Linked DNA regions of Tribolium castaneum. The protein of the gene in region 5 purifies or fractionates together with the protein of the main gene of each other region. This does not show direct contact. Links are inferred from orthologs where the notes say so. Each region holds a gene or a part of one and is shown on either strand. Other genes may lie near its edges.

Evidence for each region.
Region 1: the proteins of Sec5 (region 5) and Sec6 purify together in Homo sapiens (affinity purification with mass spectrometry; 6 studies listed by BioGRID and IntAct, counting the BioPlex papers as one, with this or other methods). This does not show direct contact. The link is inferred for Tribolium castaneum from reciprocal best matches to the Homo sapiens genes EXOC2 and EXOC3.
Region 2: the proteins of Sec5 (region 5) and Exo84 purify together in Homo sapiens (affinity purification with mass spectrometry; 7 studies listed by BioGRID and IntAct, counting the BioPlex papers as one, with this or other methods). This does not show direct contact. The link is inferred for Tribolium castaneum from reciprocal best matches to the Homo sapiens genes EXOC2 and EXOC8.
Region 3: the proteins of Sec5 (region 5) and Sec10 fractionate together in Homo sapiens (co-fractionation; 4 studies listed by BioGRID and IntAct, with this or other methods). This does not show direct contact. The link is inferred for Tribolium castaneum from reciprocal best matches to the Homo sapiens genes EXOC2 and EXOC5.
Region 4: the proteins of Sec5 (region 5) and Exo70 fractionate together in Homo sapiens (co-fractionation; 4 studies listed by BioGRID, with this or other methods). This does not show direct contact. The link is inferred for Tribolium castaneum from reciprocal best matches to the Homo sapiens genes EXOC2 and EXOC7.

Annotation. Positions count from the first base shown.
Region 1 is NC_087399.1:3,908,829-3,914,854, reverse strand, and holds Sec6 (exocyst complex component 3), read left to right. Parts: upstream 1-1,808; 5' UTR 1,809-1,883; coding exon 1,884-4,112; 3' UTR 4,113-4,149; downstream 4,150-6,026. UniProt on the Homo sapiens protein: Component of the exocyst complex involved in the docking of exocytic vesicles with fusion sites on the plasma membrane.
Region 2 is NC_087398.1:809,945-816,300, forward strand, and holds Exo84 (exocyst complex component 8), read right to left. Parts: upstream 4,111-6,356; 5' UTR 4,014-4,110; coding exon 3,950-4,013; intron 3,899-3,949; coding exon 3,743-3,898; intron 3,695-3,742; coding exon 3,495-3,694; intron 3,442-3,494; coding exon 3,145-3,441; intron 3,098-3,144; coding exon 2,971-3,097; intron 2,925-2,970; coding exon 2,406-2,924; intron 2,332-2,405; coding exon 2,201-2,331; intron 2,152-2,200; coding exon 1,741-2,151; intron 1,692-1,740; coding exon 1,494-1,691; 3' UTR 1,450-1,493; downstream 1-1,449. Other genes in the region: sperm-associated antigen 7, read left to right, coding at 516-594, 639-795, 847-1,018, 1,063-1,222, 1,346-1,449; Wdfy2 (WD repeat and FYVE domain-containing protein 2), read left to right, coding at 4,341-4,498, 4,547-4,894, 4,945-5,191, 5,364-5,695, 5,742-5,877. UniProt on the Homo sapiens protein: Component of the exocyst complex involved in the docking of exocytic vesicles with fusion sites on the plasma membrane.
Region 3 is NC_087396.1:19,820,510-19,826,851, reverse strand, and holds Sec10 (exocyst complex component 5), read right to left. Parts: upstream 3,820-6,342; 5' UTR 3,621-3,819; coding exon 3,588-3,620; intron 3,538-3,587; coding exon 3,413-3,537; intron 3,365-3,412; coding exon 3,247-3,364; intron 3,203-3,246; coding exon 3,005-3,202; intron 2,960-3,004; coding exon 2,895-2,959; intron 2,846-2,894; coding exon 2,662-2,845; intron 2,614-2,661; coding exon 2,396-2,613; intron 2,351-2,395; coding exon 2,240-2,350; intron 2,189-2,239; coding exon 2,093-2,188; intron 2,047-2,092; coding exon 1,887-2,046; intron 1,838-1,886; coding exon 1,602-1,837; intron 1,556-1,601; coding exon 1,469-1,555; intron 1,424-1,468; coding exon 1,318-1,423; intron 1,274-1,317; coding exon 1,117-1,273; intron 1,069-1,116; coding exon 824-1,068; 3' UTR 775-823; downstream 1-774. Other genes in the region: transmembrane protein 50A, read left to right, coding at 4,003-4,107, 4,157-4,424, 4,474-4,580; G patch domain-containing protein 11, read right to left, coding at 4,740-5,003, 5,050-5,509, 5,561-5,610. UniProt on the Homo sapiens protein: Component of the exocyst complex involved in the docking of exocytic vesicles with fusion sites on the plasma membrane.
Region 4 is NC_087399.1:7,151,490-7,157,058, reverse strand, and holds part of Exo70 (exocyst complex component 7), read right to left. Parts: intron 4,924-5,569; coding exon of another isoform or gene 4,759-4,923; intron 3,855-4,758; coding exon of another isoform or gene 3,831-3,854; intron 3,781-3,830; coding exon of another isoform or gene 3,556-3,780; exon of another isoform or gene 3,516-3,555; intron 3,460-3,515; exon of another isoform or gene 3,437-3,459; 5' UTR 1,889-3,436; coding exon 1,838-1,888; intron 1,793-1,837; coding exon 1,627-1,792; intron 1,554-1,626; coding exon 1,354-1,553; intron 1,302-1,353; coding exon 960-1,301; intron 1-959. Other genes in the region: stet (uncharacterized protein LOC657740), read left to right, coding at 3,556-3,780, 3,831-3,854, 4,759-4,923. UniProt on the Homo sapiens protein: Component of the exocyst complex involved in the docking of exocytic vesicles with fusion sites on the plasma membrane.
Region 5 is NC_087403.1:224,602-230,916, forward strand, and holds the start of Sec5 (exocyst complex component 2), read right to left. Parts: upstream 4,281-6,315; 5' UTR 4,110-4,280; coding exon 4,001-4,109; intron 3,955-4,000; coding exon 3,802-3,954; intron 3,759-3,801; coding exon 3,479-3,758; intron 3,439-3,478; coding exon 3,257-3,438; intron 2,893-3,256; coding exon 2,678-2,892; intron 2,632-2,677; coding exon 2,182-2,631; intron 2,137-2,181; coding exon 1,786-2,136; intron 1,148-1,785; coding exon 303-1,147; intron 126-302; coding exon 23-125; 3' UTR 1-22. Other genes in the region: uncharacterized protein LOC654960, read left to right, coding at 4,800-4,900, 5,749-5,810, 5,885-6,081, 6,133-6,315. UniProt on the Homo sapiens protein: Component of the exocyst complex involved in the docking of exocytic vesicles with fusion sites on the plasma membrane.

The DNA.
Region 1 (6,026 bases), on a different chromosome or scaffold from region 5:
CATGTAGAAGTCCATAAAAATTTTCAGGAGTTAGTTAAAAAAAAATTTTGTTTCACCTCTTTGAAGGTGAGTCTTGTATTACTCAGGAAATTTGAGCAAAAAAATTGAAAATTTTAAATTGCGTGAAAAACTGATATAATATGTAAAATGAGCCGCTGAATCCAATGGACCAAACCGCACTGCTCTACGACTTTTAGTTTTCGAGTTATGAATTTTTTTATTGAAAAAAATTTTTCACTATGACAAATGGCTACCCTAAATTTAGGCAAAAAATTTTAAATTTTTAATTCTTGTGAAAAATTGATATAATATGTAAAATGAGCCGTAGAATTCAATGGAATAAACCGCACTGCTCTACGACTTTTAGTTTTTTTTTTTATGAATTTTTTTAATGAAAAAAATTTTTCAATATGACAAATGGATACCCTAAATTTAGGCAAAAAATTTTAAATTTTTTATTCTTGTGAAAAATTGATATAATATGTAAAATGAGCCGTAGAATTCAATGGAACCAACCGCAATGCTCTACGACTTTTAGTTTTTTTTTTATGAATTTTTTTAGTGAAAAACTTTGATCGCTTCTGTAGCCGGAACCGTTGCCCGGAGCGGCTCCGGGTTTGGTCGAAAAAATAGACAAAATTAAGCGCTATCAGATGGTTTTTTGTTTGTTGCTCTAAGTCTTACAGTTTCTGAGAAAAACGCAAAAAAAGGTTTCCATTTTCACTTTTTTTCAATTTTCAACCGCCAATTGTGACGAAACTATTAGAGTTATCGAGAAACGGAAAAATGGAGGACAACCGGAATAAAAAACTCTAGAAAATGGCATCGGACTCAAGGCGATATCTCGCAAAAAAATTTTCAATTTTCAAACGCCGATTACGGCCAAACTAAAAGAGCTAGAGAAAAACGGTTTGTTCCATCGTAAAGAGCACATCAAAATCTATAAGATAGAATAGGTTTCATTTGATTTTGAGACACTTTAAAAATTGACCGATTTTAAGGGGGGGGTGTTAACTTTTTTTTAATTTTTTTAATTTTTTTATTTACGGCTAAACTATTGTAAAAAGTGGAACTGTTTTGATCCATACCTATGCAAAATGATCCGGGGAATCGATTGGCATCGAGAAAATTGCCAAATTCCCAATAGTGGTTTAGTTATGAATTTTTTAAAATTTTACCAATTTTTGCATTTATCAGCAATTTCCTCGAAAACTATTAGTCGGAGAACAATAATCTTTTTTGAAAAAAATAAATAATATAAAGAGCTTTCCAACGATAATACACTTCATGGGGTTATCTCTAATAGTTCCGGAGCTATTGCTCGAGAAATGTTCCGGGTACCCAAAACCGACAAAAACTGCGACGAAAATTGAAAAACTCAAACATCAAAAAATTGAACATATGGACTTTTTGTGGACTTTTAACAACTTTTGTGGGTTGTTAAGACATGTAGAAGTCCATAAAAATCTCATGAAAAGTTGGTATAATATAGAAAATGAGCAGCTGAATCCAATGGAACAAACCGCTACGGCTAACCGTTCGAAAGATATCGTCAAAAATATAGTCTCGTTACAAAAATGTCTCAACTAAACTTATGTTATTATCTTTATTTTTTTCACCCCCTTTATATTCCGCAATTTTCTTTATTTCTGTAGGATCATAACGAACGATAATTTTCCTGGTGTGAACTTGGCTGTAGAAAACGAAAATGGTAGAAGGGGAAATGGTACTAGCTCCATGCGCGCAGCAGTTGTCTGGTCGACTGTAAGTTTTGGTGCGATCCTAACCGACATTGACGAGAACGCTGTCAATTGAGTGTAAAGTCAACTGTCTCACCCAAACGTCAAACTGACAGTTTAGGTTAGGTCAAAACACCCCCAAAAATGACCACAACAAAGTCAAATATGCGCGAATTGGAGGCGGCGGCCAAAGACTCGGCCCGGGCGCACGTGGTGAACATGTTCCAACGTCCAGGCCAGTTGGAAAAAGTCGACCACTTGAAGCGCCGCCTCACCCGCAAGAAAAACTCCGTGGAGGCGCTCCTCAAGTCCGCGATGCAGCAACAACTCGACGGAGTCCGCGTCGGACTCAACCAACTGCACTGTTGTCTCGAAGACGTCCGCGAGATCGACTCAAGCATCAAAAAAATGTTCACTCTCTTCAACGAAGTCCCCGACTTGTGCGCCAAGCTGAGCCAAGTCCGGGACGAAAACATGCGGCATTCGCAGTACGTGACCGCGCGCGAGAACTTGAAGCACATCTTCACGGTCCCCGAAAGTGTGGAGAAGACCAAACAGTGGATTAACGAAGGGAAATTGCTCCACACCCATCAGTGTCTGAGGGATTTGGAAATGTCCCGCGATGATTTACTGTACGAGTTGCATAAGTTGCCAAACCAGTCACCGCATGATAAATCCATGCTTAAAGCGTACTTTGCCGACGTTGAGACTTTGTCCAATTTATTGGAGAAACAGTTGAGGCTGATTTTGTCGCGTACGCTCAACACGGTGCGGAAGGAACCTACTGTGATTGTCACAGCTCTCCGGATAATTGAACGGGAGGAGAAAACCGACCAAGAGGCACTTAAACAGGAAAAACAGACCGGGTTCTTGCCCCCAGGGCGGCCCAAAAAATGGAAACAAATGGCGTTCGAAGTGTTGGAAAAGTCAGTCGCTACTAGAATTGAAGGCACGCAAGTCGACGAACGCGATGACAACAAACACTGGCTCATTCGTTACTTGGAATTGACGCGGCAGCTCATTTTGGAGGACTTGCGAGTTGTTAAAACACTGTGTGTCCCGTGTTTCCCGCCCAGGTACGGGATCATCGACAAGTACATACAGATGTACCACCACTGCCTGTCCCGCCACTTACAAGAAGTGATTCAGAACGGAATCGAAGGCAACGAATACGTGACCATCCTCTCATGGGTCAGTAAAACCTACCAAGGGGTTGAGCTACTGGGCCACCCGGACTTGGTCGAATACACCAAACACCTGGAGCCTTTGCTCCCCCAGCCCGTGATGGAGACCCTCGAGGCCGAGTATTTGCGCAACATTGAGACAAACTACGGGGAATGGATGCGAAACACCCTAAACTCAGAGGAGAAAGAGTGGCGCTCGAACATCGAACCCAACTCGGAGAACTACACCCGCACGGCAGCCCCCATTATCATCTTCCAAATGATCGACCAGAACTTACAAGTCTGCAAGACGATAAGCGACGAAATGACGTGCAAAGTCCTCATCTTGAGCATAGAGCAAGTCATCAATTTCGGGGACATGTACCGGAGAGCAATCGTCGAGTTCAAAAACAAATACTTCGAGGACCGCAAGCAAGTCCCGTACTTCACCCAGTACATGATCATGATCGTCAACAACTGCCTCCAACTGGCCGATTTGGGGTCACAGTTGGAGAAGCAGTACTGGGCCCCCACGTCGCCGCCAACTCTCGGCGATCATTTCAACCGCTTGCGGACGACTTTCATCCAGTTGCGCAACGACTCCGGCGATTTCTTACTCGAGGAGTTGTTCCTGGACTTGGACAAACACTTTGACGAATTGTTCACCCCGCGCTGGCTGGGGACTTCGCACCCCGTCGACACGATTTGTGCGACTCTCGACGACTACTTCCAAGACTACAATCGCCTCAGCGAACCCAACTACAAGTTTATTGTGCACCAGGCCCGCGCTTTGGTCTCCAAACGCTACTTAACCGCGCTATTGTCCAAAAAAGGCACTTTTAAGACGTATGAAGAGAGCGTGCAAGCCAGCGGAAAGATCGTCAAGGAGGCCAATCAGTTGGGAAAGTTACTAGACACACTGTGCAGTTTAGAAGGCGATGACCCGTTTGAGAGCGTTATTTTGTTAACGGAAGTATTGAAGAGCGACGATGATATGCTATCCTTTGAGCTACATCGGATTGTTGAAAAGTATCCCGATATCACCGAAGATCATTTATTGCGACTGTTGAGTCTGAGGGGTGACCTTGCCAGGTCGGACATCCGCGATAAAGTCGCGCATTTGCCCAAAGTTAAGGCCACGCACCAGAGCAGCGTGTTCCGGACGCTGGTGTTCCCCAAACTTGTTAATCTCAACGTATTCAACAATTAAATCTATAAGATAGAATAGGTTTCATTTGATTTTGAGACACTTTAAAAATTGACTGATTTTAAGGGGGGGTTAACTTTTTTTTTTCTCATTTACGGCTAAACTATTCCAAAAAGTGGAACTGTTTTGATCCATACCAATGCAAAACGATCCGGGGAATCGATTGGCATCGAGAGAATTGCCAAATTCCCAATAGTTTTTTAGTTATGAATTTTTTAAAATTTTACTAATTTTTGCATTTATCAGCAATTTGCTCGAAAACTATTAGTCGGAGAACAATAATCTTTTTTGAAAAAAATAGATAATTCAAAGAGCTTTCCAACGATAATACACTTCATGGGGTTATCTCTGATAGTTCCGGAGCTATTGCTCGACAAATGTTCCGGGTACCCAAAATCGACAAAAACTGCGACGAAAATTGAAAAAATCAAACATCAAAAAATTGAACATATGGACTTTTGTGGACTTTTAACAACTTTAGTGGGTTGTTAAGACATATAGAAGTCCGTAAAAATTTGCTGGAGTGCGTTTAAAAAAAAATTTTTTTTTCATCTCTTTGAAGGTACTAAGTGTATTTATTACTCAGAAATTTGAGCAAAAAAATTGAAAATTTTAAATCTCATGAAAAGTTGGTATAATAGAGAAAATGAGCCGTAGAATTCAATGGAACAAACCGCAATGCTCTACGACTTTTAGTTTTTATTTTATGAATTTTTTTAATTGCAAAACTTTGATCGCCTCTGTAGCCGGAACCATTGCCCGGAGCGGCTCCGGGTTTGGTTGAAAAAATAGATAAAATTAAGCGCTATCAGATGGTTTTTTGTTCGTTGCTCTAAGTCTTACAGTTTCCGAGAAAAACGCAAAAAAAGGTTTCCATTTTCACTTTTTTTCAATTTTCAACCGCCAATTGTGGCGAAACTATTAGAGTTATCGAGAAACGAAAAAATGGAGGACAACCGGAATAAAAAACTCTACAAAATGACATAGGACTCAAGGCGATATCTCACAAAAAAAATTTCAATTTTCAAACGCCGATTACGGCCAAACTAAAAGAGCTAGAAAAAAACGGTTTGTTCCATTGTAAAGAGCACATCAAAATCTATAAGATAGAATAGGTTTCATTTGATTTTGAGACACTTTAAAAATTGACCGATTTTAAGGGGGGGGGGTGTTAACTTTTTTTTTATTTTCTCATTTACGGCTAAACTATTTCAAAAAATGGAACTGTTTTGATCCATACCCATGCAAAATGATCCGGGGAATCGATTGGCATCGAAAAAATTGCCAAATTCCCAATAGTTTTTTAGTTATGAATTTTTTAAAATTTTACCAATTTTTGTATTTATCAGCAATTTCCTCGAAAACTATTAGTCGGAGAACAATAATCTTTTTTGAAAAAAATAGATAATTTAAAGAGCTTTCCAACGATAATACACTTCATAGGGTTATCTCTAATAGTTCCGGAGCTATTGCTCGAGAAATGTTCCGGGTACCCAAAACCGACAAAAACTGCGACGAAAATTGAAAAAATCAAACATCAAAAAATCGAACATTTGGACTTTTTGTGGACTTTTAACAACTTTAGTGGGTTATTAAGACATACAGAAGTCCGTAAAAATTTGCTGGAGTGCGTTTAAAAAAAATTTTTTTTTCATCTCTTTGAAGGTAAGTGTTTTTATTACTCAGAAATTTGAGCAAAAAAATTGAAGATTTAAAAAAAAATTTTAACCTTCTCCTATCAATTCTCTAGTCAAAAAAACTTACATAACAGAACGTTGCTCGAATTTAGAAAAACGAAAACACACTATTAGGAGATAATTCCGTATAATAATAGCTCCCTATCACGCCATTTCCTCTATTGTACTCACTCTTTTTTCTAAAACTACAGTCAATAAACCCACCAAACTTAGAATAATG
Region 2 (6,356 bases), on a different chromosome or scaffold from region 5:
TTAAAATTGCGAGTTTTGACCGGATATCACTCGCCCGGCTACTTCCGGGTCATTGGTCCTTTCAGTAATTTAGACTATTTTGCCAAAGATTTTAGTTGTCCACTAGGCTCGAAAATGAACCCGAAAAAGAAATGTAAAGTTTGGTAATGTGATAGCTAATCAGCGAGCTCCACACGCCAGGTTGTGATTGGCAATGAGCTTTGTGCCACGTCGTGGAAACTAATTTAAGTTATTTAATTTCTAGTATAAGTGTATCTTTTTATGTTGTGACTTGCTACTGAATAAAACATTTTTAAAACTATTGAGTTTAAATTTACCACCTCCCGTCCCATGTTTCAAATCTGAAAACAACCAATCATGAGTAGCATCACCACTGGCAACTCCCGCCACAAATTCTCATTGGCCCAACTCGTGAAAGTTAATTGACAGTTCGAAAAAGTTTGGTTATATTATTGTGATTTCCTATTTTTGGCCAAGCCCTAATTTCGAAAAACCAAGGGCTTTAAACACCCACGATGGATCTATTGGGTTCCATTATGAACTCTATGGAGAAACCTCCAAGTTTGAGCGAAAAAGAACGCCAATTGGTTAAAAGTAAGTGATTTAACCTCAATAACCTTCATCACCCCAAATTTCAGAGAGAAAAGAGGAAATCGAAAAACGACAAACAGCGGAAAAGGAGCGTCTAAAACGGTTTAAAGAGCGAGTCGAGTCGAAATTAGCGTCGCACTTTAAAGACCCCAACAATACGATGCTGAAATTTGAGCCAATGGACCAAATTTATCGGAGCATTGTGTATTTGTGTGGTTATTTTTTCGTATTATGAGAATTTACACAGTTTTTTAGCCACGAAGCTGCCGAAAGTGCGGGGTTATTGTCGTACGCTTTTGGTAATGATGGGGTGGATAGGTATGTCAGGGTGTACAGGAAAGAAAATGCTCCTTGTGAGGACGAGTTGGCGGCAAGGAGGCGAGGGGACCCCTGGAATGAACAAATCAGGCAGCAGTTGATCGAAAAAGTACGTTTGAACCGTAATTAGGTTGTTCCTAATTTGGGTTTTAGAGAAAAATGGAGAAGATTGAAGAAGTTGCAGCTACTAAAAGAAAGCCGGAAAAGTTCACACCACACTCTAATTATAGGGACAAATACGCGCATTTGATTGGACAGGAAGCCGCCCTAGAGGCGGCCAAGAAAACCGAGACTAATAAGAGCTATGGCTTTGGTAAGTTAAAATATCAACCCAAAAAAATATAGTACTTAAATCGATTTAAATTCAACCAATAATTCACTAATTCATTTATCAGAAAGTTTATTCTAATCAAGTGATTAATTTTTGCTTGTTTAGTGCCTAGCGAAAATAAAAAGGACGTCAGGTCAATTGAGCAAACAATGGCCGACATCAGGGCCAAAAAGCGCCTTAAAACCAGCCATGAAACACCATCTGAATAGTTAATTGTATTTATTAGGCAATATTTATTGTAACATTTACCACATTATAAAAACTCTGATGAATACTTTGTTTTTGTGTTCCTACTCGTTGGTGAGACTCCTTTAGTCAGTGCTGAGTATTCCTTTTGAAGTTTTTGTAGTGAAGCGCATTCGAAACCGATCGCTTCTTTGTATTTTTTCTGGCTTAAGTCTTGAACAGTAGTCAGGAGAAATTCGGCATTTTTCGTAATGAATTTCCTTTGCTACAAACATTAATTCTGATAAAGATATTGCACCGGTTTTTTACGCTACCTCTAATTGATTTTCATTACGCAAGGAGGCTTCAATGTGTCGCACTTGCGCCTCAAAAACGTCATAAAGAACGTCGTTTATCGTATAAAGCAGTTCGGTTGTTTCAAGTCGTAAACAATCATTCAAAAGAATTAAAAACAGTTTGGTAAAAACAAGCGTATTGTTTGTAAGTTGGATCCACGTATCGCCAGTGACGTAACTGTCCACTTTGAGCCCCAAATCGGAATATTCCTGCAAAAATCGGGCCAAAGCTGTCTTTGTTCGAAGATTCATAGGAATCCATTTATCTTCAAGAGCCCGAAGTTTTGCGACTTCTATCGACTTGTCACGGGCGTCCTTCAAGGCCTGCATTAGGGAAGTGCGCAAAGCGCCATCTAGCTGGTAACACAAATCAACGCCAAAAGAACACAACTACAACCACCAATTTCATTTTTTTACAAAGAGAGAAATGGTAAATTACTCGTTCGCACTGTGAGCGGGCCAAAACCACACATTCTGTTAAAGTAGAGAGCGAAGTTTGCGGCATAAACACCTGTTTTATGAAATGAGTCGTGAATACGGACAGCTCGTTACTGGCCCACACCACGTATGCTTTGAAAAATTTTTTTATTAATTAATTCCGCTAAATATTATCAAAAACACCGTTTTAATATTTTTGTACAAACCTGACGAACAGCTGGACGAGCTGGGAAAAGCCCTGAGGAACTCCTCAGTCATGTGACACATATTCGTAAAAACGACACTCGACAAATGCCTCACGTACATGACCGTGGAGCATTCACGCTTCACTCGTTTACACTGCGTTTTGAGCATGTTGCTGCACAACTTCAGGAATAAATTACACGCGGCTGTGGAGCGCCCCAACTGGTTGAGGAGTCTCACGGCCCGGCGGGCGGCCCGCAAGCCCCCTTGTTGTGACTTGTCTGGATTAACTTCCAGTTCTTTCATCAGAACTTCGGTTAAGTGGTTACGCCTTTGCTCGACTTTTAATTGGATGTCGAGGATCACGTGGTCCGGTTGGCCACTAGTGGCAACAAATTGCGTGATGTAGTCTTTCGATTTTTGGAGGAAAGTTAGAGCGTCCTCAAAGTGTCTTTGGGCAACGCAAACGTCTAACTCTTCGGGGATTTCCAGAAACCAGTCCGGGTGTACTGTCCCGACCTCGTCCTCAATTTCCTCAAAAGCTATAGTGGGGTAAATAGGGGAAAAGTGACAGTGGTGCCGACTTACGGTTGAGGCTAGGGGAATCGATTGAGGCGGACCGAGACGGCGATTTTTCCACGATTGATTCGCGTTTTTGTTGGTCTTGGGTGAGACGGGCTTTTTTGGCCTGGTCGAACTTATCCAACCACTCTTTCTACGATTTTTTTTTGTAAACTTGTGCAAACTAAATTTTCGCAATACCTTATTTGAGCCAGAAGTGCATTGGAAAACACGAGTGTCGGGAAAAATCAATAGTTTGAATTGGTGTTTGTTGTTACCAATTTCCCGCACATTTACTACCGCGAGACTACCTAACTCGTACATTACCTCAAAAACATATTTCATTAAACCCCGGCTATTATTATTTCTGCAAGTAGTCATAAAGCCGTCTGTAAATAAATAAGCATGGACCGTTTTGATGATGTGATTATCGAGAGGGTCAACTTCTAAAAGATCCCCTTCGTGTAAATAAGTCCTTCCAGGGACTTCCAACAATTCCTAAACCAGTCATACCAATAGTAACAAAAATTCGCCAAAAAATGGCACTTTACCTTACAACCCTCAACTTTTTCTAAAATTGAGGCTAATTTCTGTCGGTTTTCGTCACCTTGGTCTTTGGGATTGTCCCTATTTTCCATTTCTGTGATAACTGGAGTTTCTTCGCCCAAAATCGAAGTTGTTGATAAGGCACCTAATAAGGATTTTTGTTCAGATAAAAGGTGTGACAATTGATACATTTCACTCTCCAAGTCTACAAAAAACAGTCAGACTTATAACTAAGTAAAAATTAAAAAAATACGAGATATTTCTTTAGCAGTGTCAATAAACTGGGTGTAATTGCGGTACACATTTTGCTTCAAATTGTTGTTGGTGTCCTCAGACAGTGACTGAATTCTTTTACGGAGGCGTCGCAATTCGGGGCCCCCCACACAACTTTGAGACAATTCCCTAACATCTAAAAGAACCTAATTATCACCAAGTGATTACGTCTTATTAATTATGTTACATTTTCCCGCATCAAACTCCTTCGAGCTAAATAAACTTAAAGTCGGTTCTTTTGTGGGCTCCATGGTGTAAAAAATAATTATTTATTTGATAATAAAGTTTTTTCTAACACAAAAAGGGAGGCGGTGCCATTTCCTATAACCTCAATGGTTTGACAAGTAATTTGTCAATAGATCTGGCGTTGTGAGCGAACATTAGAGTGAGCCACGCAAGTGGTCGACATGTACGTGTGGGTTATCGTTTGTAACTTGTTTGTGTGATTGTCATTTGCGGTTCTTTGCACATTATCGTTGGTTAGGGACGCTTGTTATCGGCAACTGCGTCGTAAAACTGTCAAATCAAAAGTGTCAAACCTAAAAACAGTGTTATAATTACAATCAAATTAATTAATAATGGCAGCGGAAATCAAGCCAGCAACCCAAGCAAACGACAAATTCTGCACAACGAAAAAGCCCGCCCTTTTGGCAAAACTGGAAGGTTGTAGCGACGAAATAAACGCCGCCGTTTTGATCCCGGGCGAAGATGGGGTTATAAGTGTGTCAGATGACAAGTAAGTCGCTCCCAAACCCGGTCTTTACGCCTCATTTTTGTGATTTAGAACGGTACGTGTTTGGTTGAAGCGAGACTCAGGCCAGTACTGGCCCAGCATTTGCCAGTACATGCCCAGTGGGGCCACTTCGGTCTTTTACACAGTTGAAACCCGGCAACTTTTCATAGGACAGGAAAACGGGACCGTGTCAGAATTCTCGCTGGCATCAGACTTCAACCGAATGATGCCAGTGCGGGAGTACCTAGCACATCAGGCAAGAGTCACCGAAATTATTTTTGCCATCAACTGCGAATGGGTTCTGAGCGTGAGCAGGGATAAAGTGTTTTCGTACAATTGCACACAAACCGGCCGCAACATTGGGACTTACACGGCTGAGGCCTGGTGCACCTCTCTACAGTACTAATTTTTTGCGGAAAATTTTCGAGTCATGTCTTTAATTTTTGCAGATTTGATGCACAAACCAAACATGCGTTTGTTGGGGATTATTCTGGTCAAATAACTATGTTAAAATTGGATAATGCGGGCCCTAGTGTTATCACAACTTTGAAGGGGCACTCGGGCTCTGTTAGGTCACTGGCTTGGGACAGCGAGCGGCAGATGTTATTTAGTGGCTCCTACGACCAAACTGTTATCGTTTGGGACATAGGGGGGCAACAGGGCAACGCCTACGAGCTGCAAGGTCACCACAACAAGGTAAACATTGTTTATTACAACCGCAGTTGGATTTTTTCCGAAGCAAAGATAATTGTTTATTGGTTACGTAGGTCAAGGTTTGTTTTTTGTTGGCGATCGGCATTTGAAATTAAATTGGCAACAGTGCCAAAAATTACCAAAATTGTGGAAACAAGTGAATGTGATATTACAGGTCTCTGCTTTGTGCTACCTTAACTCGACCAAACAATTGGTCAGCGCGGGCGAGGACGGGGTGCTGGTCTTCTGGGACATGAACCAAACGCGTCAGGAGACTCCCGAGTGGATCGAGTCCGATTTATGTCAGTTGTGTGGAAGACCGTTCTTTTGGAACTTCCGAGCCATGATGGACCAGCGACAGTTGGGTTTACGGCAACACCACTGCAGACATTGCGGGAAAGCAGTTTGCGAGAAATGTTCCACAGGTAGATTAACAATTCCAGCGATGGGTTTCGAGTTCGCAGTGCGTGTCTGTGACCCTTGTCACCACTTGTTAAGGGATAGAGAGTGAGTTGCAAGTGGTGAAGTTATGTCTTGCTAAAGTTTTTTACAGGAGGGTGTCTTTAGCCACATTCCATGATGCTAAGCATAGTATTACAGCGATGGGATTGGACGAGACTCGCAAAAAATTGGTAACAGTCGGACAGGACCGGCTAATCAAAATTTGGGACATTTCCGCTTTGCTTTGAATCCGACTGGTTTAGTTACTAACGCTGGAATGTGATTCACACTCAATTAATTAATGTGCTATGATTTATTACATTATGTAAAATTTAAATATTATTAATGTTATATTTATATTCTATAAGTTCTATTGAAAATAAATCTATTATAATCACAGAATTGCGCCTCATTTGTGCTATTTTTGAACCCAAGTGTGCGAACAAGTGACATGATTCCATGAACGGATGGTAATCTGTGGTGACGTCAAATTTACAGGAACCTGCTTTCGGTCCGATTGTTGTCAGTTTTTTTCGAACAAACAATTGTTCGTTGTGATTTTTTCTCCCCCACACGATTAAATCAATTAAGTGCACTCTTCTTCATGATCCTTTAATACTTTGGTTCTTTAATGTTGTTGTTATGCGGCATGTGTTGGTGTTTTCGTCGTGCGTGCCACTCGAGTTGGCACCACTGGTAAACAAAACAAGCGCATATGCCAATTTTT
Region 3 (6,342 bases), on a different chromosome or scaffold from region 5:
TCTCATGACTTCAAACAGGCCCCGATTTTGACGCTAGTCTTAGGTTTACTTTTTTATGTCGCCACGATTTTTCTTAACAAATTTGCTTTTCCCTTTATTTGGTTGCTGGCAGCAGCGTCATAATTAAGAATCTCCTAAACATTATCATAAGTTTCAATTGTGAGTGTCCAATTTTTGAAGTCTTAATGGAAATGTACATATTTCATTGAGTCTTGGTAGTTAAAAATGTGGAACGACTTGTAGGATTAAACACAGAATAATGTCTGTAAAAACGACCCTCAGTGATTAGTTTGAATACCCCTATTATGAATTAAGTAATTGCAATTTCAACTGTAAACGGTAATAATAAAAACAAATCATTTAATTTCACGGATTTTCATTCATACTTCCCTAAAAGCAAAGTCATGCCTTTGCGTTACGGAGAACTAATTACGGCTTAGATCTCAAATGAAAGTCGTTACATAACTAGTTTTATCTTTTGGTGGTTCAGTAGAGCCGTTCAAGTTGCTATGCTGTCTCTGACTTAGAAAAAATATAGAAAATTCTCTACATTTTTTTGCAGCTTTCGCAGAGTAGGGAATATTTTGAAACACTTACCTTGATGTTTTATACTTATTTGTTTAAAATTTTAGTGACATAAATCTTTTTTTTTTAATTGAAAAATTTGCGAAATGGAAGTTTGAAACGAAATTCGTTCAAAGAAAATAATAATTAAAAATGCTAAAGAATTCTAAGCGTGCGCTTAAAACGTAGGTCCAAACATGATACAGAAAATAGTAAATATATGCCTTTATTATTTAATCATTTAACAAATAATTCCTTATTACACTTTGAGAAAATTTTGTTTTTGTGTCTTGAAATCGCTCCGAAGCTGGATAAAGTTGTGCAAAACCGAGCGGTCGAGATTCACCAGAGAATCCTCTGAACACACTTGTTGCAAATTTTCTGGCTTCACTAATAATAAATTGCACAGCGCATGCAAAGTTTCGAACAACTCGGCCACAAGCGGACCTAAATGTTTAGTACATGATCGGTACTCATTTAAATCACAAATTGCGACCATTGCACCTTAAAAATCGTAATTAGCCAACACAAAACCATTTTTAATTGATTTACCCGCGGTGTTGAACTGAAACTGCAATAAATGATCGTAAATAACGCGATGTAATCGAATTCCCAGCTCTTGCAAAATGGCAGTAACGTTGTTACCGTCCAAATTGTCTTTGATCTCCTTAATTACATTACTTATGTATTGGGAAACTGCTTTGCACGCCTACAAATCGGAATTATTTTATGCAGAACGTGGAAGTGATTTACCGGAGAAGCGACCGTATCGAAGTCGTCAGTTTCTGGTTTAAAATCGGTTTTTTTCTGCTCTGATTGCAGGTAGACTTTTACCCAACTTCCCACAGCATTCAAAGTTCTAGAAAAATAATTAAAAAAGTAAATCATTACTTTTGGGTGTCACCTGTCCAGTCCGGTGTTAACTTTCCGTTCAATATCCTCCAAAATAAACTTTTTCTTTTGCATGCAATCGCTGTATTTTGGCGTATTTCTAAAAACAAATCTGAGATACGTTATACAATTTTGTAAGAAATTACATAATGAGAGGCACCGCTAAATCAGTGATTTGTTTCTCAAGCAAGTGCGTTATATTGTTGCTCTGGTGCACCACTGTGAAGAAATACAAAGTTGGAGGATTCTTGGACCCTTCTACCACAGGAATCGCCTGAAGCCCCAACTCCAGCGCATAATCTACGTGTTCAATTAGCAAAGAATTGAGCAAACGGTCTAAAATTTGACTGGCATTGGACGCCTTGTCTTCAGGCTTTGAAAGCTAAAAAATAAAACAGATTGTTTTTCATTCAGTTACACAAATTATGTACCAGCTGACAACGCTGGAACGCTTGTTTCGTGTCTTGCAAAATTGTAATTGCTAATTCCTCAGACAGGAATGTTTCGCCACCATAATTTTCAATCTGGGCTATGTTAATGTTGGCCCTTGTCCCAATTACGGCCTGGATGTCGCGTCTCAAGTCTTGGAACCTGTACAAATTTAGACAAAGGGAAAAACACGAAATAATAAAAATACCCGCCAGATTGGATCTGTTTCTTTTGGTGGTTTTTTGATTCGTAGTAACGTTGCAAATTGGCAGAACTGCGTTCTTTGAGACACTTTAGTTCTAATCTGCATTATGATTAATTAAAACAATTGGAACAAACCAGTACGGAAACTCACGCTATGTAATTATCGATGTATTTATTGAAAATGTTACTTGTTAGCTTATTTAAATAGTTTTTGTCGCTCCCCATGTTAAAAACGGATAAATCTTGCGATAACTGATTGGTTCTAAAATAAAAAGTGAGTCTGGTGGATCATTCAGAGTGTAATTACCTGTCATATAACTCGTACAAAGTTTTTAAATAATTGTAACTATCTAATTTCGAGGATAGTTTTGACGCGATGTACTCTTGCAGTTTCAAATGATACAAATTTAGGACAAATTTTGCCAATACTTGTTCCGGGTTATTAAATACTTTCTTAATAACATCGTAGTTTAGTTCACATAAGGGAAACAAACGCGAAAATACATCTTTACTCAACAAGCAACCCTAAAAAAATTGTTTCCACAAGAGGAATGATAATATGATAATATTTACAGCTTGACTCCGTTCAATGTAAGCATCAACGCACTGGGGGTAGCCTTTAAATTGTGATAAAACATTAGCGATTTCTTTCATTCTTTTGAAATCGTCCCTCCTTTGCGCATTTGAGAATTCTTCAATTAAAGTCCGCTCTGTCTCATCGTACTTTCTTTCAATTTTGCGCTTTAAGCCCTCAAATCTAAAACATGATATTGTTTGTTGTTACAATTATTGATCTAAATTTTTACTTTGGTGAGGGCAGGTCTTGTGAAATTAAATACAACTTTTGTATCACTTCTGCCGCTTCATCAATCTGCAAGAAATGTTGAACAAATGTTGATTTAAAAATTAAAAATACTTTTGACGAGTCGGTGAAGATTTCTGAAGTGAGAGGGCCAGTTTGTAAGAATTCATTCAAATGTGTCATTAGATTTTTTGCATCAACAACTCTTGCCCTAGGTCCGTTAACACTATCTAACTGGTCACCCAAGTGTAGGACTTTTGTCGCCACATGGTTAATTTTTCCGTCTAGCTCTTGAAACGTATCAATGGCTTGCTAAAATTGAGGATTGTATTTTGCAAACACAATTTAAAACCTACTTTATTTTGCCCCAATAAATCGTGGATTTTTTGAAAAAACAATGCTTCGTCTTCGCGTACGGCGGCTTCGAGCCTTTCACATTTCTTTTTTTGCCTTTCTTGGAGCAAAGTTAAGTCTCTACAAAAACGAACCCAGTTATGGGACTTACACAAGCCTAATTCTTACTTAATAGCTTGAACAAACGAGTCATGCAGCAATGTTGGATTAAAGTCCTCATCACCGTCATTTTTTGTTTCAGCTATTGTGCGCCAAGCTAATCTTTCAACAAATTCTTCAGCATCAAACGGTTCCTAAAGATTAGGGGGCGTTTATGCAAAGACTTACAAGTGGAGTTAAATACCTGCTCCAGTTCTTTCATATATTGTTGCATCATTTTGACGCGAAATTTTTTCCTTTAAACTGGAGGAGATATAAACATGAATTTATTTATTTTTGGCTTGACTTGACACCTGTCAGTTTGACGTCCAACCAATCTTAGGTTACAACAAAGTAGACCTTTGTTATTGGTGTTAAAACTACAATTTATGACAATTTCTGGTATATTTTGGGTGCGCGTTATCACACACGATTTTTTTTCTGGGTGGTTTCGACTTATTAATTAAAAATAATTAAAAAATAACTTTTAATCAGCTGACGTCCAGTGTCACCAAGCCCTCGAAACGTCAAACGCACAATAAAATCCCCAAGTCATTAGTTCATAATCACCAAAAAAATATCGTTTTTGTTTACATTTAAGGCCATTAAATCGGGAAAAAATGGGTATAGCTGACTGTTTTGAAAATATAAATATTCCGCCGTGTATTTGGTTCGAAGGGGGTGATAGGCGAAATGCGTACGCTTCAATGATCTCGGGGTTTTTGGTGAGCTTTTTTGTGCTCTACAACTGGACATGATTCATCCAAATTTTAGTTTTTCGTAGGCTGGTGGATAATAATCGATGCCGCAAGTGTATACCCAGGGACTGTCCTAGCAGGATACCACATGTGTGGGGTCGTGGGGGCCGTGTCTTTGATAATGATCAATTCCGTTTCAAACGCCCAAATGAGGGGCGACGCTTATGAGGGGGGCTGTTTGGGCCCCCGAGGCGCCAAAGTGTGGCTTTTTGTCGGTTTTGTAATGGGTTTTGCATCTGTGATTGCCTCTTGTGGAATATTATTTGCTGATTTCGTCAACAAGAGTAAGAGTTTTTGTAAAAAATTGCAAACTTTAATTGAGTTTTTTTACAGAGGTGCCTCACTATTGGCCGGGAGTCGCTATATTTTTGCAGAACGTGTTTATTTTTATCGCGTCACTCATATTCAAGTTTGGTAGATCTGAAGACATTTGGACATAGAAAGTAATTCACACTCATACTTTTATGTTGCAAATTTTACCCTTCATGAGCATAACAATTAATTTTTTATTAAGTGTAAAGTGTAAAAACTAGGTTGTAATATTGTGTAATTTATTATTTGCTAAATAAATAAAACATAAATTAAAAATCACAATTTATTTAATCGTCATCGTGATCGCTTCTGTTAGGACCTGGACAACTTGTACTTAAGTCATTTTCGTCAGTTGCGACAAATGCACAAAACATGCAATATAAATGCGTGTTTCTTAGATAATGAATTAGTTCGCTTAAATTTTCATCAGTAAAGTAGGAATCAAATTCTTCATTAAACTGTTCCTCTTCTTCCTCATCGTCTTGAACACCTCTCTTCTTCTTAATTGTTTCCCTCGTCCAATAAAACTCCTGAATTGGCTCATCAGTGTTCTAAAACAAGTAAATAACACACTTGACTCGTTAGCAACGTGTTCACCTTTCTTAAATCCAAATCTTCACAAGCTCTCTGCGCTTTAACAAAATCCTTACAGAGCAACTTCTGGGCTTGTTTATTTTTAATACTTGTATGAAACGCGTCCATTTTCTTTGCAAGAGTCTCCTCTTTGTGAACCTTCTTCCTGGTAACTTTTTCCTTAAAATGGCTTTCTAACCCAACCCCTGACTTGCCACTCCTTAGTTCTATTTTAATGGGCTCTGTTATGCCAGACTGCGATTTTCCCAAACCTTGTCCTTGCTTGAAACCCATTTTCTCCAACAATTTAAAGCCCTTGTTGTCATTTGAAATAGCAGTGTTCAAGCCCTCTTGTCTTCGCTCCTCTTCTCTTTCTTTACTGTTTTTGGGCTTCTTGGCCGAAAGCTCCTGCCTTTTTTTCTCTAGTTCATACTTTCGTTTCGTTGTGCGGTTGAAAACTAGTCCAGGACGGACGTCTTCATCACTAAATTTGAAAGAAAATTAAGCAAACATTACTTAATGCTTGCAAGGTTACCATTTCATTAAAAGCTTATCAGACATGTAATCATCTTCCGAATCCGACATTTTTCTATTTTTCTTTGTTATTACGTTTTTTTCATGATTATTGTGTTTATTTTCCTAAATTATAACCTTCTGCTCTTCTAGGTTAAAGTTACTGCCAACATTTATGTAGAAAAGTGAAAAACTCTCATATGTCTCAGATTGGCGAGCCTGTGATTTCAAAAACTTGTGGGAAAACATTTCATTTCAATAATTTTTGATATCTTATTTAAAATAAATCAAAAAATTAATACAAGTACACTATTTCGTTATCACATGAATTGGGTAATATTTTGGAATTATTAACGATGACCCCAATTAATCCCAGAAACTCATAAAGATTACCATTAAACAAAACTTTACGATTAAGTAACTATCCTGCCAATTATTTTCGTTTTGATTTACTTTATACAAAATTAGTTCTTTTTAAAGTGTTTTTTATAAAAAACCACATCTAGAATATAATTAATTTCATATAAATAACTGCAACAACAATCATAAGTAATCTCATTGTTTGTGATGTTGTTTTCTATAAATAACATTATGTTTGTGTAAATTTTTATACCTATCAATCCGTTTTAAAACTCAAAGTACACCAACAAGTATGGAAATTGTTTTTGTAAGAAAAAAAGTGATAAAACGAAGAACCTGATAGTGGGTATATTTGATATTCGGAATTTTGTCTCCGGAATTCATTTTAATGTGTGTTTTCTGTTAGAGACGTTGTAAGTGCTGACAAAGGTAAACTTGTTTTAA
Region 4 (5,569 bases), on a different chromosome or scaffold from region 5:
TTTTGTTTGTGTTTCTCACTATTTTATGATATTAGCATAATACGTAATTTAATATTACGTAAAATTATTACAGACATTGAAAAGACCACCTTTTGTAACTTATGCTTAAATGTAACAGCAGTTGTTAATCTTAATTGCAGTTTTGTAAATTTACCGAAGTATTACATGATTTTTTTAGTGGAAAAATTCTAACTTAAAATTCACACACTTCACTAATTTGTTGTCTTTTTTTTTGAGCCCAACATGTGCTCGCTATGATCCATTACTTATAGTCTTTAAGTATACAATTGTTTTAATAACATTTTGTAATCAAAAAATTAATCTTCTACACTTTTAGTTCTCTTTCAAATTCCAACAAAAAACACTTTATAACTACAGAAAAAACCGCATAACCAAAGCCCAATCTAGTATTTAGTATTTATCACGTATTCTTAATCTAATTCTCTCTAATGTAAGAAGTTAACACTCTTAATTTACAATAATTCTTTAGTGAAACCAATTTTAAGCAGAAGCGGAAGTAAAGAAGGTTAGGACAGACAAATAAAAATTTCCAGTATTTCGATTCTAATATTCTCCATTGTATCATGCAGAAACGTCTAAAAAGATAACTTATTGTGTCTGAAACTATACTTATGTTGTAAATGATCTGTAAGTAGTCTAATATTTATATTTAGTACTTTCTGTTAGTGTTTAATTATATTTATAATTTTGTTTTATTATTAAATGAAAAAAAAAACGAACAAGGTTTAGATTGAATTCAAATTTGCCGCCACTATCCGTAGCGCCATCTGAGTAAAGGTTTATTTCCGACGGAAAAACCCGAATAGTTCCGAAAAATTCCGGATAAAATTTTTATATTTGAACGTACTTTGTGTCAATAACGATTAACCGATTATTTGATTAATCAACTGATTACTCGATTATCTTGCCCAGCCCTAGTACCAGCACAAGTTACCAACCAGCATTGGTGAACTGGCAACACCATGGACACTCCCACCGCTTACGCTCTTCTGGTGGTTGCGTAACATGGTCAAAGACCGCTGTAAAACAGCCCCACGCACTTTACCATAAACTGTTAAATATTCATCTCGGCCGTTGTCAAGTAGCCAATTTGCGATTTTAATCAAATAGGCTTTCGTATGGTCTGGAATTTGAACAGGTGGGAGCTTTTCGCGGTTGTCAGAATTCTCGTAATTGATCAAATCGAGGAGAACGACCGGAAGCATTGGAGTGTTGTATTTGTCCAAAATTGTTTTAAATTCGGAATTGAGTTTGTCGCTACCTTTATGAAATAAAGTGGTCTAAAAACCTGTTTTAAATTTTGTTGACCTAAAAAATGGGGGTTAGACGTACGACATTTTCGAGTTCCACGCTTTGGGGGATGTGTTTTTCGAAATATTTCTGGGCTTTCGCCAGGCGATTTAATGAGTGGATGTAGTCGTCTAAATCGATACCGCTCTCACCAGGTCCTTTCTCAATTGTGCTTTCAACGTCACTTGATACGTTGTAATAGCTTATAACATCGTCGAGATATGTGAGAGTTTGGTCGATATCTGGTTATTTGAGTCAAGGAAAATCAACTAAATTTGATATTTGAGACGAAAACTAGGGGCGTTTCAAGGATACTGACTTGTGATTTTTGTAAATTTTCGGTATCATTGTAGACCGGTAAAATAGTGTCTTCAAGCCGTGAAAGACGCTCCTCAAACGAATTGAGAATCGTATCAATGCCTTTCGTGATTTGAGAGCTTTTTTTCAGTCTTTCAGTCAGCAAAGATAGGTTAGATTTCTCCTACGGGCATAAGTTAGATTATGTCACGATTACCAAATCACTGACTTTCTCCAATTTGCTTGTAATCTCATAAGTGCGTTCCTCGATAATATTCATCTTGTTTAATCCCAATATTTTGGAGAATTATTTCCAAAATTGAAGACTTTACGAGCAAAACATTATTGACGTCTTTTGTTACTAAATCAACAAACTTGACAATTGGCAAATCCCTAAACTAGAGAATGCTACGGAGGACTATAAGTTAGGAGACGAAAGAAAATACGAAATCTCAAAATTATCTGAACCCAAAAAAATAGTCCGGTGGAGTAAAAATGAGGGCGCTTCAAACGTTATATTGTTTCGGCGCCAAATTTATTTAAACCCAACGAATTCACTATTACTTGAAAAAAAACGCGAAAATATTGAGCTTTGTACTCTTAATGGTCTAAAATTTTCATAAAAAAATACGAGAAAAAAAATTATTAAAATTTTACAATTTGCGTTTCGTCCCGTATTTTTCAAGACTTTGCGAATATAGTTAAAGATACAAGGAAATAATTTTGAAGAAATTTGTAGAGAAATAAATTTAATATAAAAAATTCGTGACGCCATATCTCTATCGTCAACAGTTTAGGTTCTAAAAACGTTCAAAAACGCTCAAGTAACGGAAACGTAATTTATACCTAAACTGTTCTTCAACAGTTTATCTTCATGTTTTTATCTTCATAAAAACATGGTGTCCCGGACTTTTTTGTAAAAAATTTAATTTTCTACAACTTTCTTTTTAACATTTTTCTTGCATCTGTAACTCTATTCACAGCGTTTTGAAAAATATGGGGTAGAGTGCAAATTGGTACAAGTTTTTTTAAATATAGTTTACGATAAAATTTTTGTATTATGTTTATGTCCTACTATGGAGAATTTAATATTCTATGTGCCTATATTTTTTTCTTTGCTATGTGTTAAACGGTATACAATTTTTTTTTCAAATTCATTGGTCTGAAAACATAGGACGGGAACGTTTTATTTTCTACATCTTTTCATATCCTAACCCTTAAATATTTGTACTCTAAATAAAGTGCTACTTTCGAAATTTTCTATACGTTTTTAACGTCCTTCGCGCATTTGGGTGGAAAACATAAAGTAATGTATAATTACTGCGAAAGCAAGATGATTATTTAAAAGAAAAACATTGTCAAACTTGACAAACAACAAATCCCTAAACGATTCGAAAAAATCTAATTCTCCCTTAAATTTAATGAAAAGAAACGGAATTTCTGATTATTTGGTCTAGACACGCACCCTCTGTGATTCACGCTTGTCGCCCGTCAAATGTTTCACCCTAACTTCGGCCAAAACCACCCCAATCTTCCCCCGGCCGACTAGATTTAAAATCAATGAAACCTTACGATTTTCTCGAGAGGGGATGAATTTTCACGATAGGGGAATTTCGAGTTGACGTTGGGGAAAAGTGGAAATTGCCGGAGTGCAGAACGTGTGGCGTGTTTTTGTTTTTTTTCAGTTTTTTTGAGACAGGTGTATGGTTTTTTAGTGCGAGGAAAACCTTTTCGTTGAGTTTTTCCGATTGTGAATGGTGCTGTGAGGAAAATTCGTCCATTTTTTCAGTTTTCGTACCACTTAATCGGCGACAAGGATCATTCACAGCTGTAACAACAACAATAACAGTAGTAAAATAAAAAACAATATGCAAAGACAATTTTTTGGCATAAATTGCAAATTTTAGTTAGCCGAGACGCAAACCGGTCCATGCAGTTACCGGTATTATGCTGTCGCACTCGGCGTGGCCTCATCGAGTGTCGCCCTCTACCACCCAAATCCTGCCAACAAATCTTACTCATGCCCAATCATCGGAATCCGGAATCGAACCCGGACACATAGCGACAATCACCGGATCTTTGGCCTCGTTTCCGGATCATTACGACACGGATCACACGGATCTGGCGAGCGAATCGGACGAGGCCGAACTCAAACGAACACTTTTACGAGACGTGAGCGCCCAAAAATGCAAAAAACACAAAATATATACTTTTTATTACAGCAATGGCGCCAGTTTTTCGACAAGGTACACACGGATGATCAAAAAATCCAACAAATAACTGTTTCTGATGAGTATGGAAAGTGCTTTTTTCGCTTTTAGCATCTTTTAATATCACAAGTGAACATGTTTTCTTATTTTTTTGATGTCTATTACGTGTCTTTTATGTAATTTTATCAAAAACTGGCCATCATGTCAAATCTCAGAAAAAAAAATATTCAAAACCGCCAAAATCTTTGAAAAATCAAAATTTTGAAAATCAAGTAAACCTAAAAAGAAAAACTTTTTAAATAAACGCCACAATATACAGGCTGTTTCGCTTAAACGGCATATTAAAAGTACTGAATGTTCTAATAATTATAAGTATCTGCAAATTGTGTAAAGCCGCGATATTTTCAACATGGCGGCACTTCCGGTTATACCGGAAGTCGGTATTAACTTTCTTATTTTGAATAAAAAGATATGTTTTTTACTGCGTTTCTAGATAAATCAAGTTATTTTAAAGGGATTTTCATGAGATTTCCCTAAATTTAGCCGATACACCAATCAAATTGGCTCAATTTGGTCACGTGATCAGTTAATCACGCATTTAATTGCGGATTAAATTAATGACGTTTATAAACCGATCCTTAGTCTTAAAAATAGTAAGCACATCATTAAGTGCTTTGAAATTGTGATCATTTTTTTATTTTTTTTTCGAAATTCCTTTGAGTTTTTGAGTTAAGTTAAAAAAATATGTTTTAATAAAATTTAAATATTTAGCATTTAATATTAAAATTATTTATTAAATATTTAATAAATTTAAATAAAGTTAATCTAGATATAATTTAATATAAAAGATAGCAAAAAAAAATTGTTGTGCTTTGTATTTAAAGAAGCAATTTCCATACTCTGTAACAAGTTGGTGACTTTTAACGCCGCGTGTTGGCAGTACGACCCGGAGGGTTTCGGGGAAATCCCCTGGGGCGACTTGATTTCAGCAATGTCGGACCCGGAGTTTCGTCATCGCGTCGGCACTGGAAAACGCGAGATCCTGTTAGAAAAGGCCAGGAGTGCCACAACACCGGCGATTACATTCCAAGATTTCGTGAACGTGGTGAGTTTTTTATTTCGCATTAAGCTAGCATTGAAACGTCGGGGTTTTTGATTCTATTGTGTTTTTCATAAATAAATTCGCCGATGTAAAAGCGCCCGCCCACACTAATGACATTTTTCAAATTCCTCGTTAGTGTGACAAGCAATAAATAACTCGTCCAAATCCGGCCGTTTCACACCGACAAAGTAGTCACAACAGTGAAAGAGCCGTATTTCTCCCCCGATCGTCTATTGTTATTGGGGGATGCTGGGAATTTTGGTACGGCGTGTGTGGTACGCCTGGGGGTGACGTCTCATTTACGCGTCGATTGACTTTCGTTATGTCACTTTTGTTTTTATCGCGGCCTGCTCGATGAACTCGGCGAATTCTTTGCATTGCGACGACGGTCGATTTCAAGGCCGAACGCGGGTGGTGCACCTTCATCAGGGGCCCACTACCTACCTGAAACTCACTCTCGCTATCTGCGAGATAAGCTCATTGCGAAAATTATTGCACCGATGGATGTGTGCTGGTGCTGCTGCTGCTGCTCCTGTTGCTGCCGCTTCTGCGGTATTCAGGAACTGGTTTCGGTTGTAGAGGAATAAAAAATAAAAACACCGAGACGAAGACGAGTGAAGGAAAAAAGAGACAGTCGGAACGCGCTGAT
Region 5 (6,315 bases):
CACAGTTACTAAGCTTGTCGAGTTAATGAGATCTTTTCTTGACTGGCCCGTTTGCGTGTGACGTTAGACACAGGAGTTGTATCCTCATGCGGGCCCTGCACTGTCTCAAAATATCCTGCACCACACTGGAAAAAAAGGATAAGCTACACACAAAATATTTAATTTTTTGCTTAAAATATAAAAGAAATAACGTGTACAAGGAAGAAAGCACACAAAGAAAAAAACGCACAAGGAAAAAAGATAATAATTAATAAATAAGCTAATAACTGTTGTTAACCCTAAACAAGCAGAGAAAAACTTACGTGGCTTCGGAGTTTTCAAGCGGAGGAATAATATCTAAAGCTTCCTGAAAGTAGCTCCGAGCTTTAGGTGTCGAGTAATGGTCGAAAAAAATTTGCAGTGCGCTTATGTCGGCTCTGGCTTGTTGTGCCCCGCCTTTGCTAAACTTCTGAACACAGGACATCAGTCGGTATAACTCTTCGGCTATCGTTAGGACTACTTGAGGAAGTACGCTTTCTAGTAGAGAAGACGAAATACTGTTAACTTCAGAGTGGACATGGATCACGTTATTGATGCACTCCTTTGCATAGGGCCTTATATTATTGGGGGTTATTTCAATGTCCCAATCAAATCGGCCTAAATACATTGAGGGTTCGATTGTGCCAACTAAAGGATCACTTTTCTGTTCCAAATACTTCTCAAGGATCGTTTTTTCGAGCACATCCAACTTATCTTTGGCGTTTTTGACTGGCGTTTCCGGTGCCGGGAAACCACTCTCCTTGAACTTCCGTAAAATGGTGTCAAAGACCACGTTTTTGGCATAGAGGCAATTCGAGAGTGTTATTAAAAGACGGTGCTCCCAAATCGGCATATTATTATTGGTATAATTCGTTCTATAGCCATTGATCGGAGTTCCGATTAGTTGCGAGACGACAGGTGACGTATCCTCATCGTCATCACAACTCTCATCCGACGATAAATTGTTCAAAACGTTGTGAAACGACACTAAAACTGCTTCGATCTGTTTATCCAACTCTTTATGCGCAGTCGGATTTTCCAAGAGAGGTGTTTCGCGCTGCTCCGTCGATAAAACCGATTCCTTAACGATTTGGATCACGTCTTGGATGATGCGCTCGAATTTGATTGGCTGGAAGAGGCACATGACGCGAAACTCGCCAATCAAATCAAAATATTGAGATCATACTTTTACACACTGTTCCGAAATGGTTGTTCAAGTCAAGTCACCTATGAAATTTAAGCGTAATGTGCCGCTTAACACAACAAAAATCACGGAAATACAAAACACAAATCAAGACAAAATCTACAGTTAGAACAATTTTGCCGAAAAAGGCAAAAATGATCTGATGAACAACCATTTTTGAACACATTGTATTATGATAAGTTACAGTGAAGCATTTAAAAACAATTAGTCAATGAGTTTTTTGTATCATAACTTTGTTTCATAATTATTAACTTACAATACCAAAACAAGAACAAGAACATTTCTTGATTTTTGTAAAACACTAGTCGTTTTATACCAGAATAAACATTTTCAGCGTTTATACAGTGATTTTTACCGCCTTGGAAGAAATACCAGTGTTTCAGTAGAAGTTTCATTGCTCATAAACGGGAAAATTACAATTATTTTTTATTTGAAACCGTTTTTTCTAGCTCATCCCGATTTAGAATAATCTTTAAAAAACACTTTATTTCTCGTTTTTTGTATAAAAAAAATACAAGCTTATGCTCAACATTTTGATTTGACTGACCAGACTGGCTACCTACCAGTTCGGTTATCCCAACGTGGTTCCCACTAAAATCAATTTTCCAGTTCTCGTTCAACTGCTTGATTTGTTCGGCCGCTTGCTTGAATAAAGTACTCATACAGTGTATCCGCAAGTCGAGTAAAAGCGACGAGACAATATCCAGAGCCTCACTCGGCAAATCTAACTTAATTAAAGCGATGTAAGTCGAGCGCACACATCGTAAAATTTCGGGCAAGAACGGCGCCACCTCCTCAAGTTCGGGGATTGTCCAAGACCCGAGCGCGCTTTTATCGGCCTTATCGAGAGTGTTGGGGATCAAAGACGACCGGATTGATTTGCAAAAACTCTCCATTATTGTCATAACAATGTGCTAAAAACTAGAAATAGAAACGATTTTTGCCAAGTGGAGAGTTACTTTAAATTCGACGTGGCGTCCGGGTTCGATTTTGACTCGCAATTCACCCGAGAAATAAGCCTGGCCGATTTTCCACAAGTCTGGGAACGTTTCCGAAATACTGAGGCAAATTTCGTCAATAAAATTCACGTTTGCCGGAACTGTGTTTAAGTCGTTCTGAGGCGGAGGGTTGTATTTCGAGTATTTCGACGTCGAGTTTGACTTCGATCTCGGATCGGGTTTCTCGACATTGTGCTCGCCATAAATCTGCTTTATGTTTTTGTTGATGTAAGCTGAGCGGCTCTCGATGGCCCGCCAAGCTGGGTCCTCGGTACAGTCTAAATTCACTAAGTATCTAATTAAGCGTTTCTGTTGCTCTACAGTTATTGGCATTGTTTGTAAGTCGGTAAGGAGCTTCTTTTTAAGGTCGGCTATTCGTTTGTCCACTTCATTAAGTGCAGACTTAAATATCTTAAACTTCGATTAGCCACAGTCGATTAAGTTGAAGAACACTTACAGGCACATCAGTTTTGTTGAATAAATTTTTGACTCGTATGTAATCGTTGATTACGATATCGTATTCACCTTTCTTTATGTTCCTATCTATTACACACGGGAGGCAAAACAAGAACCTAAACCGGGCTAACACGTTTAGCGCGTTTCGAGTCTTTTCGGCTCGGTCTCGCCGCGCTAGCACGTCGTCAAACAATTTCCTACCTTCCCTTTCAGATTCTAAAAAACAGGTAATTTACTCAGCCAAAGTTATAATTAAAAAAAATAATTTAAGGTTGAACTGCTTAAAAGAGAATTGTTTCAAATAAACAAAGAATTTTTAAGAAAAACTTGGAACACCCTGTATATTTACGTGTAGGTGTGAGTGTTTTCGTTAATTGGGCCAAAAATTTGGTTCAAAAATTTTTTAGACAAGGAGCAAATGATTTTGTAAAATTTTGCTGCACCGAGATGAAGTCTAAATTAATATAAAAATTCTTGAACAGTAATTTTTTTGGAATAAAGGGCCTGAAATTTTTGAACAAAAAAATATTTTTTCCACATTTAAACATGTGGCCGAGTAAAATTTGCGCAAAAATCGAACCTTTTATTGATTTTTCGAGCTTGAGCGTTGGCTCGGTCCCGAATTTGGCGACATCGGCCTCAATTTTCTCCTTTAAATTGACAAGAGTGTCAATTTGGTCCATAACCGAGCCAATATTTGCCTTCAAAAACGACAATTGGCCCTCCTTCTGCCCTTCCACCTTGCGCCTCAAAAAATTCAACCTAACTGGGAGGTAATTGTGCGCAAAATAATTGTAATTACCCGGCCTGTAGATCATTGAACGACGTTGCGTGATGATTTTCCAGAAGGAACCACCCTGGTGAAAAATTTCCAGAGGCAATGTCGCCCGATTTATCGGGAAAGTATGTCATTAAATCATCTTCGGGGAATTTTTTGTCATTGCCTTCAACGGAGAGACCTAACGGGTCCTCCTGTTGGTAACTACTGGGGGACAAGGAGTGGCGCCCCCATACAAACAAGGGGGTGGTTTCTTCTACCCAAACCGCACTCTCTTTCATTGGACCGATGGTCTCGTGGTACCCTTGAATCATTAATAGAAAGGGGCTTTCAAAGCGTAACTGTACCTTTAAATGTGACGTTACAAGTGCCTACACCCCCCAGTCTTGTCGTCACTATCACATCACCTTTGCCCTTCACGGGCCCCGAAATCGCGATTATTTTATTGGGGGATTTCCACTCGGCCGACAAAAGACAATCAAAGCCGCAAATTGACAAACCTAAAAGTTAGGTTATTTTTTTCTACTACTTCTGTAAGTGACCCACCTATCAAATCTGTGGGTTTTGACCCGAAATTCTCCCCTCGTATTGTAATCCTAGTCCCTGGAAGCCCCTCGTTAGGGCTCAGCCCTGTTACAACAGGGGGCGGTGCCATTTCCTAACTAAAAAACTAAGCACTTTCCGTCTCAAAAACTCATACTGGCGATACTCCAAATCAAATGTGATTAATTAAACCAATTCGTTACTGCATTCTGATTCAAATAAATAAATTAAAAATATTTTTGTTTCAACTCTGACATTTGACGTTTACATTACGACAACAACACAGCCAACGCCATGTTTGGGCGAACTTCAAACCAGCCACACGGCGCTAAATTTGAAGCCAAGATGCGTATTTCCGTTCCTCCGCGGAAATAAAGTCTTATTTAAGTGCGTATTAACTTAATGAAAATTTATTGCGGTGCATCATGTTACAATTGTCCAATTTCGCTAAGTGCAGCCCAATTTACATAAAATTTCAATTCGCTGCGTGTTTTTTCTTTTTTGATTTCGTCACTTTTCACAAATTGATTTTCTGGTAAAGCAAGCACGGTATTGATTATTTCCCGAGGTCGTCCCCAAATAGAACAACAAGTCGCGACTCAATCAATATCTGATTCGAAAATTGCCACTTTTGGCACAATTTCGCGCCACTTGTCGCAGTTCGAGCGATTATTTTGCGTGGAAATAATGGAAACACTTAAGTGACGTCACTAAGTAATTTACCGTAGATACATGCGATAGTGGGGGCTAGCACACATTCAGAGCAGTTTCTTTAGTGTGCAGCCGTGTTGTGCATCAAAAAATGACCGATAATTACCCTGAACATTTGAACCCTTTTGCGGACGAGAAGCCCAGACCCAAACTGACAATTCGGGACTCTTTCAAAGAACTTAAAAGAAATTTGTGAGTACCGCCCTGGCGCATTTTCGAAATTTCAATTAAACGAATTGGAAAAATCCGAATCACGCCGAAAATAGGCGTGTGTAATGTTTGCGTTGTGATAACACCGATAAGTGATAACTAGTCAAGGGATTATTAATTACTTACCTTCAAAATATTTAACTCTTTATCTTTTATTTGCCGTCTTGAATAGCCAAGTGCGAATTTTTTAACAGCTCTGACCCGAATTCTAAGAGAAACAATGACAACTTATTCGCATTTTTATTAAATACATGTGCTAGGGTTGTTGCGAAATGAAGTTACCAGCAAATGGTCAATGCACCCAAAACAATAAATAATTTTACTGCTCGCTGTCACTACACTCATGAAAATCCATCTCTAGTCTAAATTTTACCGAATAATTGCCCAATTTATGTGACGCACATGTAAAAAGCGATTTGTTTATTTATTAATTGATTACTCTAATTAGGAGTCCGATAAAAATATGCAACTCGGGTCCGGCACTAAATCCAGCCCAATTTACAATAAAGGAGACATTAATTTTAATTACTATTCAACACAGAATCGTCCGCAAGGCTTAACAATGCATTGTCCGGCCCTGATTAGTTTTATTAAATCGTATGACATCCGTTCACATAAAAGAAAGTGTTTACCGAATTTTGTTGCCACAATAAATTAGCAATTGTAATCGAAGCGCGCATTTTCTAAACGAAAGTGGCCACAAATTAATAACTAAGTTCGTGAACAATCGAAAAACGATTTAATTTATTTACCCACCTAGATGAGTAATCTATTATGACTTTGCTGACATCATTATTATAAATATCGGCGATTTAATGAAATCGTTGCAGGCGGCAGTCCTTTCGGATCAAAAAGAAGGACAACGACGAGGTGACACTCCGGCAAAAGAGCGGTAAGTGAACTGTGACCATGACCTGGCCAACTTCCGTTGGGTGTCACCCGGAAATGATTAAAAATTTATTTAAGAGACGTTCAAGAGGTCGCCGTTGTCGTACCCAAGCCCCCAACAGGAGGCGCTTCCCCGGTCAAGATTTCGGGAGCGGATAAGCACCCCAGGCTCAAATCCGTTTGAAGAAGAAGAGAAAAGACAAAATGTTGGCACAACGAAGCGAAGGGGCAAAAAGCGGGCGCCTCTGCCCCCCAAATCGGCGTCCAGTCAAAATGTAATAATGCCTGTCTTGTCAACTGTACAAGTATTAATTGTTACTAATTAGGTTAGCAATTTGGAGGCTTCCTCCGATGGTTCGCACTGGAGTCTGACTTCTGCTGACACCGACTGCTCCTTCTCGACTGATAACGAAACCAAACCAGACGCAATGATAAACGAGTTCAAAGATTTTAACAAAAATATGGAAGCGCTAAAAGACGATAGTAATAACAATGTGGTTGCCAAAGAG